Schizosaccharomyces pombe: one gene and its partner. The protein of the gene in region 1 interacts with the protein of each later gene in a pairwise test. Each region holds a gene or a part of one and is shown in the gene's direction. Other genes may lie near its edges.

Region 1 (7,817 bases):
AAAATGAACTATACAACATTCCCCCTGTTCATCTTTCGTTAGTGTTATTAGCAATCCTGTCAGCGAGAACGAAGTATTGCTCGACTCTTGAGAAAAAATAAGAGTGGCTTGTTTCTGTGCTACTTGATTAGTTCGTTCAGTTAAGCGTAATATAATTTGTATAAAAAAAACCGAAGAAACCCAATAACCGCAAAGGGTGCATTACGGTTCACACGTCTTTTTTTATAGTCGAACGACGTCTTTATGTTTAACAACTCTTGTGTAATCCCTTTTTGTTTCTTTAATTTACTAATTTAATCATCATGCATTCCAAAGAAAGTGGATGGATTAACTCAATATCGTTTTCTCATCAAATACGATTCTAATTAACTGGTCAAAGAGTGTTAGATGTCACAGCGTATAGCAAGTTGATTAATAACGGTTAGTGCCAGTTTCTACTTCTTTTTACTGAAAAGATGTTTGTTGTTATTATATCAATCTAGCTGTGTTTATCGACGTTTTATCTTTTGTTTTCAATGACAATTTATTAACAAAATAAGAAATAAAAAAGGCATACGAACAGTGGTTGCCGTCCTGCACAAATCGTTGAACTGCTTAAAGTTTAAACTTGTCATGTGCTTCAAAATTCTGCGTGGATCACGTTCATTAAATTATATTGTGCACTTAAGATGTGTATCAAAGTTGATACAGTGGAGCACTTTTGATTTTCAAAAAATTTAGTTTCCGAATTTAATAACCAGCTTGAGTGTCTGTTATGGACATAAAAAATATAACGAGAAAGTGTGGTGATCTATGGGCAGGTCGATGACTGGATTCTGACTTAAAATTCAATTAGCAAACAAATACTTCGGGATGTCGTATCCTAATCCTTCAGCTGTCTTAATGAATAAAGATCGGACGGCCCACAAATTTTCGGAGAACTTTGATGGTGTGCGAATGAGCACGTTGTGCCCGTAACAGTCAAAAGGAGTAGTTGAGAATTCAATGTAACTATTATAAAGTTTAGTTACACGTTGGATTTGCTCTCCTCGAAATCCAATGAGTTTTTTGTGAATCTCCTCTGGAACGTAAAAGTGCATCTCAGCTGGAAATTCAAGCAACATTGTGTTCATTCCTTTAATTACTCTTTCCAATTCGTCACTATATATATCAACCGTGAATATACTCGTCGACTGGGGACAAAACAAGATGTCCCCATTCTTTAAGTTGAAACGGCATTGCTGCTTTACCTTATCCAGTTTTCCATTTTTTTTACCGGATATGAAATCTTGATCCTTGGTTGGGGCTTCAAGCAGTATCTGGTGCCATTGGGATTGTCCAAATTTATAAAATATTTTGCTTGCTTTATCCATTGCTATAGGCACGGTGTTTTCTTGTCCGAAATATTCAATCCCATTGGTTTTTAGGAGCATTTCGACTCCAGAAGCCATGCAAATTATTGCAATTTGAGCTACAAATTCTGTTGGTGGAATACTTAGCTTCTTAAGAGGAGAGAATGACATTTTTTCTCCTATTCCATTTGTTTCCACTATGGAGCCAGTCGAGGATACAATAGAGGACAATTCAGAGCTTGAAACTCCTTTTTCAATTGTAGACGCTCTTCTCCAAGAACCAGCAACTCTCAGAAAGTCTTCGTTGTCTTCAACTCCAAACTGAGTTTTTCCTTGTACATATTTACTTGCAAGCTTTGCCAATCGGAGTGCTGTTTTTTCAGAATTCGCTATAGAAGATGAGTAGATTTTGACTTTTGAATTTTCTGGGCTCGTTTCTCCTCCTTCTTTGAAATACTCAGGAAAGCGAATAAACGAAGAATTTTCTTCCATAATAAGCCGAAGCTCATCCATTTCGTAAGCGAGAAATTCGAAAAGCTTAACAAATGAAATTTCTGTTACGTGAGTAAACAGTTTTAGATGTTCTTCTGCGTAATAAAACGCCTCTTCGAGTCTTTGCAATTTTTCCTCTTCTCCTGTAATAATTATTTTACTTGAGTTTAAGGCGGGTAAGGTTTGAAGCCGAGGGATTGAGTCGCTGCAAAACGGTAATGTATAAATATTAATTGATTCAGTAGCCTTCATTCCGGCAGTACTAGAAAATGCTTTTCCAACGAGAATTGGCTGAAAAGATACAGAAGTTGCAATAGCTACTACCGATAATCCTCTGATTTCATCCATTAATGCTAATACGCGAATTCTAGCATGTTCAACGCTGCAATAGTCACCATAAAAGACAATAAAAAAAGAATTCTCTGCGTTCTTTTGACATGAAAATTCATGCCTAGTAGACTCTAAATGCCTTTGGTAGAAGCTTTGTTGTTCATTTAATCGATTGCTGAATCCGCTGTCAGTACGTAGCTGAAAATCGATATCATGACACATGGAACGATGCATGATATAAATTTTTGCTCCCGTTATTTCCGTTATTTTGTCCAAATGTTTCATAGTGTCTTCATAAACGTACCCATCTTCATCAAAAAGGAGGTTTTCGAGGGGTTCTTCGAGCACAAGTTTGCTGATTAGAATTTTGGGAATGGCTTGCAAAATCTTTATTTTTGCAGTGTACACATTTTTATAATTTCCTGAAACAGTAACCACTAGTTCATTGCGGGAAGATGATATGCTCATTCCTTTATGTTTGACATGTAGTTTTATATTAACTGGCAACTCTTTTTCTGTCTCAATGCACTTTTCTTCGGTTAATCTCCTAATTTGAGAGTAAATATCGCTTTCATAATAGTCACATTTACTAGCATAAAGGGATGCCTCTTCGGGAGGAGGTGTAGATGGATCAGGAATTGGAAATGCTAAAACATGAGAATCCATTTTGGTGATTTTAAGCACAAAATTTTCTTATTGTTAAATCGTTTGATTGGAAATTTCGAAGCTTAGTGAAGAGTAAGTTTTTCGTGTTCGAAAGAAAGATTAAAAGAAATCCAAAGGAATGATAAACGATATAGGTTTGAATACAAAATTATTCCGAAAGTTACTTCTGAAGGGTTGGTTGTTGGTTGTGTTGTTGCTTCCGTGAAAGTTATTGTTTAGCTTCCAAATGTAAATAAACAATGAATAAATCTTGGAATTGATATGCGATTGGCAATGAATGATAGCTTAAACTTTAATTTTTTGCTGAAAAATAAACAGAACGTTTTCGCAGAACGATGTGTATTGTACTAGTTTGACTGTGGAATACAAGTTTGTTTATGCAAAGGTAGACACATATATATATACAGCACATGACTCTAAGGTGATGCACTAATGACTAGGAATACTTTTAACATAACCATCACAATTTTGTATTCTTTTTACTAATTAGGATGGCTGATTTATGATCTGCCAAAGCCTCTTTAACTCAAAACAGTATATGATTTGCCATTGACATTTTTTCAGAAAAGGGGGAATATGATTATATGATTGTGAAATATACGCTTAATTTTTCATTATAACTCTGTCAGTATTGCTAGGGTTTTGGACACAATCATAGCTTAAGTAAAACATTGCACTATTAGTGTCATTCTTTGAAATTTGTAAGCTAAGCAAGCACATATATTTACCTTATTTATCAAGAAAAATAACATGCCAATAGGAATAAATAGATTAAGAGACGAAGGTTTTGAGAAGAATAGTAGCAAACCACCTAACTGATTTTTATTTCTACTTAAAAGTTCATAGAATTATGTGAATAAGAAATTAATCTAGAATTCTTATAATTGATTTTCATGGAAAGATCTCCCTCCCCCCAACTAGTAGACTTTGCTGCTAAATGCTTTGTTTACACACTTACCACCGACTTCTCCAATAACACCAACCGTATAAAAGCACCATAAGTCTCCTACTTGGAATCAGTAAAACAATTAATGGATTCGAATTACAATTATGTTCATATGAATAAACCGGGAGTAGTTTTGTTTGCCTCGGATTGGCTAAAAGATAGACTTCCAGTTGACGATGTCGAAGTGCGAGTAGAACACTTACCACCTGTTACAGAAGATGAGATGACTATTCAACATTCTAGTGCAAATCTAATCTTAATGAAAAACAAACAGCTTAGGCATGAACCGGCTTGGAAAGATTTGGAACTCGAAGATTTAGTTAATGCCTTTGCATTCATTCAAGGCTCTTCAAATGCCGAGGGTAAAAATACAATTGAAGATAATTTTGAAACAGATCCTTTCAAATCAGTCAAAGAAGCTCCAATGGCTCCTTTTCTTGAAGCGAACAGAAGGCATCAAGGAGAGCACGCTAGTATGCGGTATTTTAGATGATATACCTGAGGTTGTACGAACCAACAGTCGTTAATCCATTTCGGCTGTGAAAACTTAAATAAAGTCTACTCAAAAGTCATTGTATGTACACTTGTCCTAAAACGTGTACATTGACTTTGAAGTTTTTTATCGATCGATTCCACACTGATTATAGATTATCCAAACTTGCTATATCATTCTTTGATCAGAAAAAGAACAAGATGGCAGATTCGATACCCGTTAAGAAAAAAGGCTCAGCTAAAGGCCCTCCTTCGTTCGTAACGCCTGAATACATAGAGAAACAACGCCAAAAAAAACTTGAGAAAATGGGTATGAAAAAAAATTTTCGTTCATCTAGTCGAGCAACAATAAGAAGGTTGTTGTGAAACTTTTTTTAAGACCGAATCTCTACTCCTTTGTTTAATTTTTTGTTGCTCAATTTTATTAACTGATTATTAGCTAAGAAGGCTGCTCGAAAACCTATTGCTCCACCAAGCAATGCTCCACCCGAATTCAATACGGACTTTATAAAGCGTGAAATGCTCTCCATCCCTAATTATGCACCGTTTGAAACTGAAAAGTCTGCATTGGATATTACTATTATGACTTACAACGTACTTGCTCAGACAAATATTCGTCGTTCAATGTTTCCACACAGTGGTGAGGCATTAAAATGGAAAAATCGCTCACGAATGCTCGCTAATGAATTAACCTATTATTCACCAACTTTGGGATGTATGCAAGAAGTTGATGCTGAATTTGTTCCTAATTTCTACAAGAAGTTATTAGGTGGATTGGGTTATGAATTGCATTTCATAAAAGGTGAAGGTAAAACTCATGGAATTATGATTTTTTGGAAATCCTCTTTGTTCAAAAAGGTGCAAGATTTGACTATTTATTACGATGATCATGATGAATTACCAGGTAGAATGAACACCAAGAACATCGGTTGTTGTGTACGCCTTGAAAGGGTAGATGACCCGAGCAGAGGGTTGTTCTTGGCTACTACACATTTATTTTGGCATCCTTACGGCTCTTACGAAAGGTTACGCCAAGGTGCAATATTGGTAAAGGAAGTAAACAAGATGGCACAAAGTCATCCTTCTTGGCCTGTTTTTATAGCTGGTGACTTCAACACTGAACCGTTCGATACCAACTTTCCTGCGCTAACTACCCGCCCTCTATCCATCTGCCAAAGGGCTACTGACATTATAGAACGTAGTATGAATTACGTATTTGGGGAATCTGAGTTGGAAGAAAAAAATGCTAGTACTAAGACAGAAAATGATTCCAATGAAGATGACAAAGAAGAATGTCAATCCTCTTCTACCTCAAGTGTTCCCGAATCCACAGCTTCTACCCCAAAAAAGAGAATTTTGCATGTACAAAATGACTATGTACCTCACTACCGTTCTTTTTATCAGCAGCACGAGCAAAATCCCGTACTTTTCAGTCTTTATTCAGTGGGCTATAAACTGGTTCACCCAGAAAATGCAAAAAATACGTTTGATCATCCAGCATTTACCAATTGGGCTCATGCTTACCAGGGCCATTTGGACTACATATTTGTTATGAATCGTGATACCTCACTTCAAACTCCCGAAAATCAAGTCGTTGAAGGTATAAAATTAAAGGCACTGTTACGTGTGCCTTTACCCAGTGAGATGAAGGAAGCGGAGCCTTTAGAAGGAAGATATCCCAGCGACCACGTTGCTTTGATGGCAAATGTACAAATTGTTTAAATACTTATTTTATTATACGGTACACACAAGGTATGGTAAATCAATAAATAAAATTTCATTGTTGTTTATCCATTTAAAAATGCCAACGGCAAACATGTAACTTTGGTGTTTTCGCTTACTAAAAGCACACCCGTAAGCAGAAAAATTTAAGACAATTGAGGAATAGTCTCACCTTTCGTTGTGTCGATGATTCCTTCTTCGATACTCAACATACCAGTACTGCTGAGCTTTTCCACAACTTCTTCTGCATTTTCAACTGCCATTTTTCCAAGAACTACATTAATCTTGTCTAAATCATTGGTCATAAGAGCTTTTTGGAGGTTAGGAGGAAAAGACTCAAAAGCTGCACGAGCTTTTTGTGTCTCTGGATCAGTAGAACCTGCCTCCGGGATGGTGATGGAAAGTTTCGTATTAGGATCAACTGCACAGAGCTGGATTTGTTCTACTCCTTCACCGCTTTCAGCTTGTTCTTTGCTGATGGCAGCAGAACGTTCATGGATTCGGACATATGTATTATGAACATCCTCTAAAAATAGCCGCTGAGATTGGTGATTTGGGTCTTTAATTTTTTGAAAAAATATTGATAAACCATTTGGTCCAAGCTGTCTGCAATAGCTGATCAAAAGGGCTTGATGAACATATTGTTTTGCTAAGGACGGCTTCCCTTCTAGTTCAGCATTAAAGGCTTCCAAAAGAATAGCATCAGATTCTTCCTCATCTGCCAAGATATTTAAATGTTCTTTCAAAAACTCTTCCGATGAAGAATAATCACCAAAATCAATATTGGCAAACTTCTTACCATCTTCAGAAAGAGACAACCCTTCTTCATCTTCCGACTCATTCTCATTGACAGGATTTTTAGGGGCATTACCAGTAGAAGCTTGCTCTTTAGCGCCGGGAAAATCAGTAGGAGGTGTAGGGTTATTAAGAGATTCAATGACCTGGATGGTCTCCTTTTTGGTTTTAGTCTTTTTAGGTTTTTCAGGCTCCTTTTTCTGAACATAGGTGGAATCAAAGCCCAAATGCAAGTCTTCAGAAGTGATGTAATTTTTACTCTCAGCCTCTAAAGTATCATACTCCTTTTGTGCATCTTCTAGCAACTTCAGAAGACGCTCTTTGTGTGACTTTAATCGTCTCAAGCATTTATCCGAATCATCCATAGATTTTTCTTCGGTAGTGTCTTCGGCATCTTTAATTACTTTTAATAAAGACATAAGCATATGATGATACGACATGCCTCCAGGAATGGCACTATCCATATCTTCAGACTTTTTTGCCTCTAAAAATGAACCCAATAAAACATAAGGATCCGAAGGAGATTCCTTCTCAAGAACAGTCTCCATTTCGGAGATGCGAGACAAGAGTCTACGATTCATCGCCATTGCACCTTTGATATCTTCCATTTTTTGCTTTCTAACAGCCCGTTTTTCGTGGATATCACGTTGGCGCCATCTAATAAAAGACTTTTTATCGACATTTGGATGAACTGCATGTGGTTAATTTAATATGAATACAACCCGTAACAAACCTTCAATGTCACTAAATGTTGTTAGCATGAATTTATCAAAACGAAAAATAAATGAAGAAGGAAAAGAAAGGAATGTTTTGACAATGGTTGTTTATTAGCTAAAAGAACCCAATTGGCATCAAATATACAAACTGCAAATTAATGATTGCCTTTTTGAACCCAACATGTCCTTCAAAATGATAAAAAGATGAGTCTGAATTTTATTTTTGAATTTATTCCATCCTACTAATGAAATTTCATTTCGACTTCTTTTATTGTACTCCAATCAAAGGCATCATGTAGAGTATTTAACCATTGTCCTTACAGAGCC
Region 2 (5,724 bases), 320 kb from region 1:
AAGGAAGCTAGCGGGTTATGTGAATCAGAAGCGTTAAGCTTTTTAGTTGGTAGCTCATTTTCTCTGGATTCACGTTGACGATCAGAGGCTTTTCTTTTACGCGACGAACCTTGCATATTAAAATCATTGGCATTCCCTAAATGAAAATGGGCTCCATGGTCTGATAAATGAGTGCGATCTTCAAAATTTTGGTTGTATACATACGAAGATTTCTCCAAATGCTTACTTCGAGGCCCTGTATCTCTATTATCGTAATGTTCTCGTTTGGACCTATATGAATCTGAACGACTATCTGGATGGTAAGAATCATATCGTCGATGATGATTCGATGATCTTGAAACCTGAGTGTTTTTCGGTTTGTCGTAATCCTCTTGTTGTGAAGGCCTATTGAAATTGTCAAGATTTATACTCTCCGCCCATTCGTTTTTGTAATGTTTTGTATCATCTGTAGAGCTCCAAGAACCATTAGTTTCGCCCCAACCATCATCCAGGTTTCCCCATGAAGCTTCAGGATCATCGGGGGCAAACCAAGAGGATTTTGCTTGATACTTCGGACGAAATTGTGGATCGCTATTCGAATCAAGCTCCATAAACATCGACGTATCGGTATGATCAAGAGACTTAGAAGATTCACGAAATCCAGTAGAATTATCATCCCAGCCAACAGACTTAGAGTCAGAACTGCGAATATCATTTTCACGAAGTGAAATGCTTTCATGCAGTCTAGAAGATGACTCTATTATTGAATCAGAAGTAGAGTTGTCCCACGATTCAATCTCCATGCTTCCTGAGCTTTTATCTAAAAACTTGTTTCTGCTTTTCCGATGTTTGCTTTTTTTCGTTTCTATAGGTTTTTCAAATTCAGTAACGGAGTTCTTTCTTAGTTGTTTCGACTTCACTGGCTTCTCCTTTCCATCCGTAACGAGTGGAAACTCAACATTAGATGATGTGTATTTTTTTGAAGCTCTTACCTCCTTTGTGACTCCAGAGGAAGTATGGGTTGCCTTTGCTTTAGCAGGACTGTTCTTAAGTTGCTGTGGGAAGTCAACAGCAGCCAGCAATTTCCTCTGCGATAGCATTTCAGAGCGGCAGTAAACTGCTTCTTCAGCTAGTTCCTGCCTTTTTTCTCTCCTATTTTTTAGATTAGAAAGCCAATGTTCAGTGAATAATTCGTGAACTCGCTCTAGCGAAACAGTTGCTGATCGCCGAGATGTTCCATGATTTTCGGGAAAGTCTGAAATACAAGCTAAAAACGGTAAACTTGGAAGATATTTTTTGATTCCTTTCTCCATTAAAATCGTAGCTCAAATAGGATCAAAAGCTCTCATTAAATTATAGTGGTTAGGAGTAAGTTAAGAAGTTTGATGAGTATGTGTAACATTAGATAGTAAGGATATTAATCGAGATACATACAGGTATCTTTTTTCTGAAATTTTGTATTTGCAAATAATTGAATCCTAAAAAACCCAATTTAAAGTACACCTACGTGAAATTGAAAAGAGTAGCCAGTTTCAATTACTTAAATGCTGAAACTTGAACATGAAACGTTACGGAACATAAGTATTTCTTATCCCTTGACCTCTTCATTAAAGGAAAATAAGCATTTTGATACTCTTAGTTAATAATCTTGTTCAAGCGTTGCAATAAACATTTCAAATCAGTCAAAAATAAGAGGAGAAATAAGTTCAACAGCTTTTGTTAATTAATACGTGAACCAAAAATTAACACGAAAGTTAATTTTGTGGCTTCTCAGCATTGCTTTGTGTTTACATTTTTTGTTTATTGTACAGAACTGGGTTAGTAAATAACCCAGTCACCATAGTAACGCCTTTAGTCTTACAATACACCAGCTGATTCTTGAATACCAATATTTATTTGCAGCATAAAATCATGTCGTTTATGTCGTTGATGGCTAATACAGCCCATCAACTATGGTATCCTACGTCTTTTCCTTCTATGAAAGAATTGGAAAAGGAAGAAGTTAGACTGGAGACTCAGGTATGTTTGTTTACGATTTTCAACGAGTTTCTGTGCATGAGAAAAGTCTAACTTGAACGAATCTTAGGAGCTTGCAATTAAACAGTTTGGATTTCGCACTATTCGGCCCATTGGATTAAATAGGTCTATGCAAGAGCAGCTTGATTTGGAAGAGCAAGAGCGCGAAGAGGCTAATCAAGACACTGAGTTGGATGAAGAAGAATTGGGAAGTGGGAGCTTTCCTGAAGAAGGCGAAATGGACGATATGGATGGTGATAATGAAGAAGTAGAAGATCACGATATTGAAGAAGTCGACTTGGATGCTGATATCACAAATGCTGACGCCTCTGAATTTTACGAAGATATAAGTGAATACGGATTTCAAAATTAAGGCTTTAAAAATAATAATATCGAATCAACCATGATTGCTAAAGCTATGCTGCTGCATTACCCGATTGAAAAATGTATGTACAATCGAATTTATTCCCATAATTGTTTACGAAAAAAGAACTTGAAGATAATAACTGGATACACAACCTATGCATGCTAAAAGGCTATCAACTCTTTATGATTCAAATGACCCATTTGATTCTACTGTTTTGAATTTATTTAACGATGTCTAAATTTACAATGCTAATTTTATTTAGCATTTTTAAGCAATGTTCTTAAACCACTAGCCTTTTACATCATTGACAGATCCCATTTGGAATCCTGACTTACTGTTAACCGTATAACTTAAATAATCATTTTCTTGGCTGTTCGTTTTTGGTGTTTGAATATTCATATTGGAGTGCAACAAACCGTTGTGTATTTCTTAGACATCGTTGAAACTAATTTAAAGCCTACCCGAAACTATGAATTTGTTTCTATCTCGGTTCACGGGGTTACGAAATACTTCATTTTTGGGTCATGCACGACCGTTTATGTTTCCACGTCGCTATGCTCATTCTTTAGTGGCACATAATATTGGTCATATCAAGCTAGATCCAAATGAAGGTCTTTTCTTCGTGGATAATCTCGTCAATACTCCAACCTATTTCTACATTCAGCGATACACTGCGTTGCTCTTTCAGAACAACTTGAAAAAGCAGCTAAGTGCTGCTTTTCCAAGCTCTGATACAATGCAGTTGGAAGATATCATATTCAGATGGCAAGATGGAGGAGCATTTTTAAAAGTACGTTACAAGGAATTCCCACAAGATACAGAAGCGGTTTCAGAACACGTCCGTGAATCATTTCGAAAGCGTCCAGTTCGAACAATTTTACACCCTTTCTCTACCCCGATTCCACACATGGTACATGGTATTCCTTGGCTTCAAGATTTATATATATTTCCATCTCGTACAGTAGATGTGAATTTCGAAGGTCCGCCCCTTTCCCAGGAAAGATTGTATAGTATTTTTAGGACATATGGAAAACTAAGATCCGTGACCATTAATTCACCTACTTCTGCTACTTTGAGTTTTTCATCGCTAAGGTCCGCTACGTCAGCTTTAAACTGTATGCATGGTTTTGTTTATGGGAAAACAGAATTCCACATGCGATACAGACATATGAACCGCTTTGTCGCCTTCAAAGACTGGTTATTCTCTCATCCTCGTTTTACTATTCCTTTGGTTGCGGCGGCTATTACAGTTTTAACGGCTTCTTTATTCGATCCGATAAGAAAGTTCTTTGTCGAGACAAACATTGTACATGGTCAGAAGTTGAGAAATATCAATGTTGTTGGGTGGGTCAAAAAGAAAACTCGCGATATAGTTTTGAGTCCCTTTCACGAAAATGGTACAAATATAAAGGCACCGATTTGGACAACACGTGAAAAGGATTGTGAACAGTTGAAAGAATGGTTGGATGAAGCATTACATTCTTTTATTGTTGTTCAAGGTCCTCGTGGTAGTGGTAAGCGTGATCTGGTAGATCGAGTTGTTAAAGAACGAAAAAATGTTTTGTTTTTCGACTGTGATCGCTTATTCTCCACTACTAATACGGAAATGTTCGTAAGTACTCTTGCTAGCCAAACGGGGTATTTCCCCCTCTTTAGCTTCCTAAACAACATATCGTCACTTATCGATATGGCTGCACAAGGTCTCATAGGACAAAAAACGGGAATTGTTTCTTCTAGTGAAGGACAAGTGCGGCAAATTCTTAACACAACACAAACGGTATTGCGTTCTCTAGCATTACGAGAGCATAAAGAAGCCGATACTAGTGTGTTGGATGAATCTGAGTTTTTAGAAGTTCATGCAGATCGCTTACCTGTTGTTATTCTCGACAATTTCCAGCTTCGTAAATTATCAAACCCGATGCAGAGAGTGGTTGCTGAATGGGCTGGTAATTTGGTAAAGGAAGGAATTGCTCATGTACTAATGCTAACACCCGATGTTGGAGGCACCAAGTCATTAGAGCAATATGTCAACGGTTGGGAAAATAGAACATTGTTATTAGGAGATGCTGACCCTGTACTTGCTCAGCGATATGTCATAGAGTCTTTACCCGAAGAGATGCAAACAGAAGAATTGAGGAAAGAATTGCGGGTCCAATTACCGAAGATTGGTGGCCGACTTCGTGATCTTGATTATGTAGCTCGTAGGTTGCGGGTTAATTCTTCCAGTGTTTCTGAAGCAATTGGCGGTATTGTAAGTCAAAATGCCTCTGATATTTTGCAAACATTTTTACGGCCTGCTTCTTTAACCAGTGAGGAGAAGCCAACGTTCACTCCAGAAGAGTCATGGACCTTAATTACTTATTTATCTCAACATGAATATATACCCTATCATATGTTGATGCTTGACCCACTGTTCAAAGGACACGACGATGCCGTTCGTGCCTTGGAAGAATCAGAATTGATTACTATTACCACAGTGAATGCAAGACCGGATAAAGTCTACGCTGGAAAACCTGTATATGTTACGGCTTTCCGGCAACTTGTAAATGATCCAGTATTAAGTGCTAATATGCAGTTGGTGAGATGTAACGCGTTAATTGGCATGGCTAACAATGCTATCAAGAATGATGAACAGGAGCTACAAATGCTAAAGGACCTTGGGAACCTTGAATCAGGTGTGAAGGATCGTGCTCATTACTTAACGACGCGTATCCAGAAAAATCAAGGTGTTATTACTGATAATGAGAAAAGTATAGAAAGGCTTACTGAGGCTTTGAAAAAAATCGACTAAGATGCGAAAGCATATCATTTAAGATTACGTATGTTTTTATGAATTCTTTAGCATGAAGCTATAATGTCAACAATAATATCACATTTAATGACTACGCATTAACGAGAGAGAAGGGAGTAAGGATTTGGTAGGTAGTCCAAAAATCGTCGTAATATGAAGTGAGCGTAATGAAGAATTAGCCTAGGTAGAAAAAAAAAGAAGAAGCGAAACCGGTTATAGTCATTAACCTTGACGGGTTTTATGTCTCGGATGTTTTTTGCATAGTACATACAACCTACCTTTGCGACGCACAAAATAGCAGGATGAACAACGCTTTTTTACTGATGCTTTCACTTTGAAACCTCTTGAAAAGTTCCAAGGTAGAAGGCTAGGAGAAAGTCTGAAAGCAGGGGTTAAGAACATAGATGCATTTTTTAACAACCCTTTTTGTGCATTAAAAGCAGAAGGGAAGACTCGTGACAAAACACCCACAGCAAAAAATTTACGACCTAATGAAGCCATTATAAGTTAAAAAAAAAGTGAAACTGGGACTTCAAGTCAAGATGTTTAAATTTTTTTGGATCCGAAGTAA

What was found. Proteins that work in one complex are often made in the same cells at the same time.
Region 2: the proteins of apc13 (region 1) and apc15 interact in binary tests that used the Schizosaccharomyces pombe proteins (3 or more experiments, as listed by UniProt).

What each region holds. Positions count from the first base shown.
Region 1 is NC_003423.3:1,831,329-1,839,145, reverse strand, and holds apc13 (anaphase-promoting complex TPR lobe accessory factor Apc13), read left to right. Parts: upstream 1-3,790; 5' UTR 3,791-3,850; coding exon 3,851-4,258; downstream 4,259-7,817. Other genes in the region: SPOM_SPBC28E12.02 (BICC1 family RNA-binding protein), read right to left, coding at 828-2,819; SPOM_SPBC9B6.11C (CCR4/nocturin family endoribonuclease), read left to right, coding at 4,342-4,567, 4,697-5,979; Hsp90 co-chaperone Cdc37, read right to left, coding at 6,126-7,465, 7,508-7,518. UniProt on the Schizosaccharomyces pombe protein: Component of the anaphase promoting complex/cyclosome (APC/C), a cell cycle-regulated E3 ubiquitin-protein ligase complex that controls progression through mitosis and the G1 phase of the cell cycle.
Region 2 is NC_003423.3:1,514,837-1,520,560, forward strand, and holds apc15 (anaphase-promoting complex platform subcomplex scaffold subunit Apc15), read left to right. Parts: upstream 1-1,859; 5' UTR 1,860-1,890; coding exon 1,891-1,998; exon of another isoform or gene 1,999-2,065; coding exon 2,066-2,368; 3' UTR 2,369-2,738; downstream 2,739-5,724. Other genes in the region: tas3 (RITS complex subunit 3), read right to left, coding at 1-1,292; RNA-binding protein Yme2, read left to right, coding at 2,832-5,153; rtc6 (mitochondrial 54S ribosomal protein bL36m), read right to left, coding at 5,376-5,654. UniProt on the Schizosaccharomyces pombe protein: Component of the anaphase promoting complex/cyclosome (APC/C), a cell cycle-regulated E3 ubiquitin-protein ligase complex that controls progression through mitosis and the G1 phase of the cell cycle.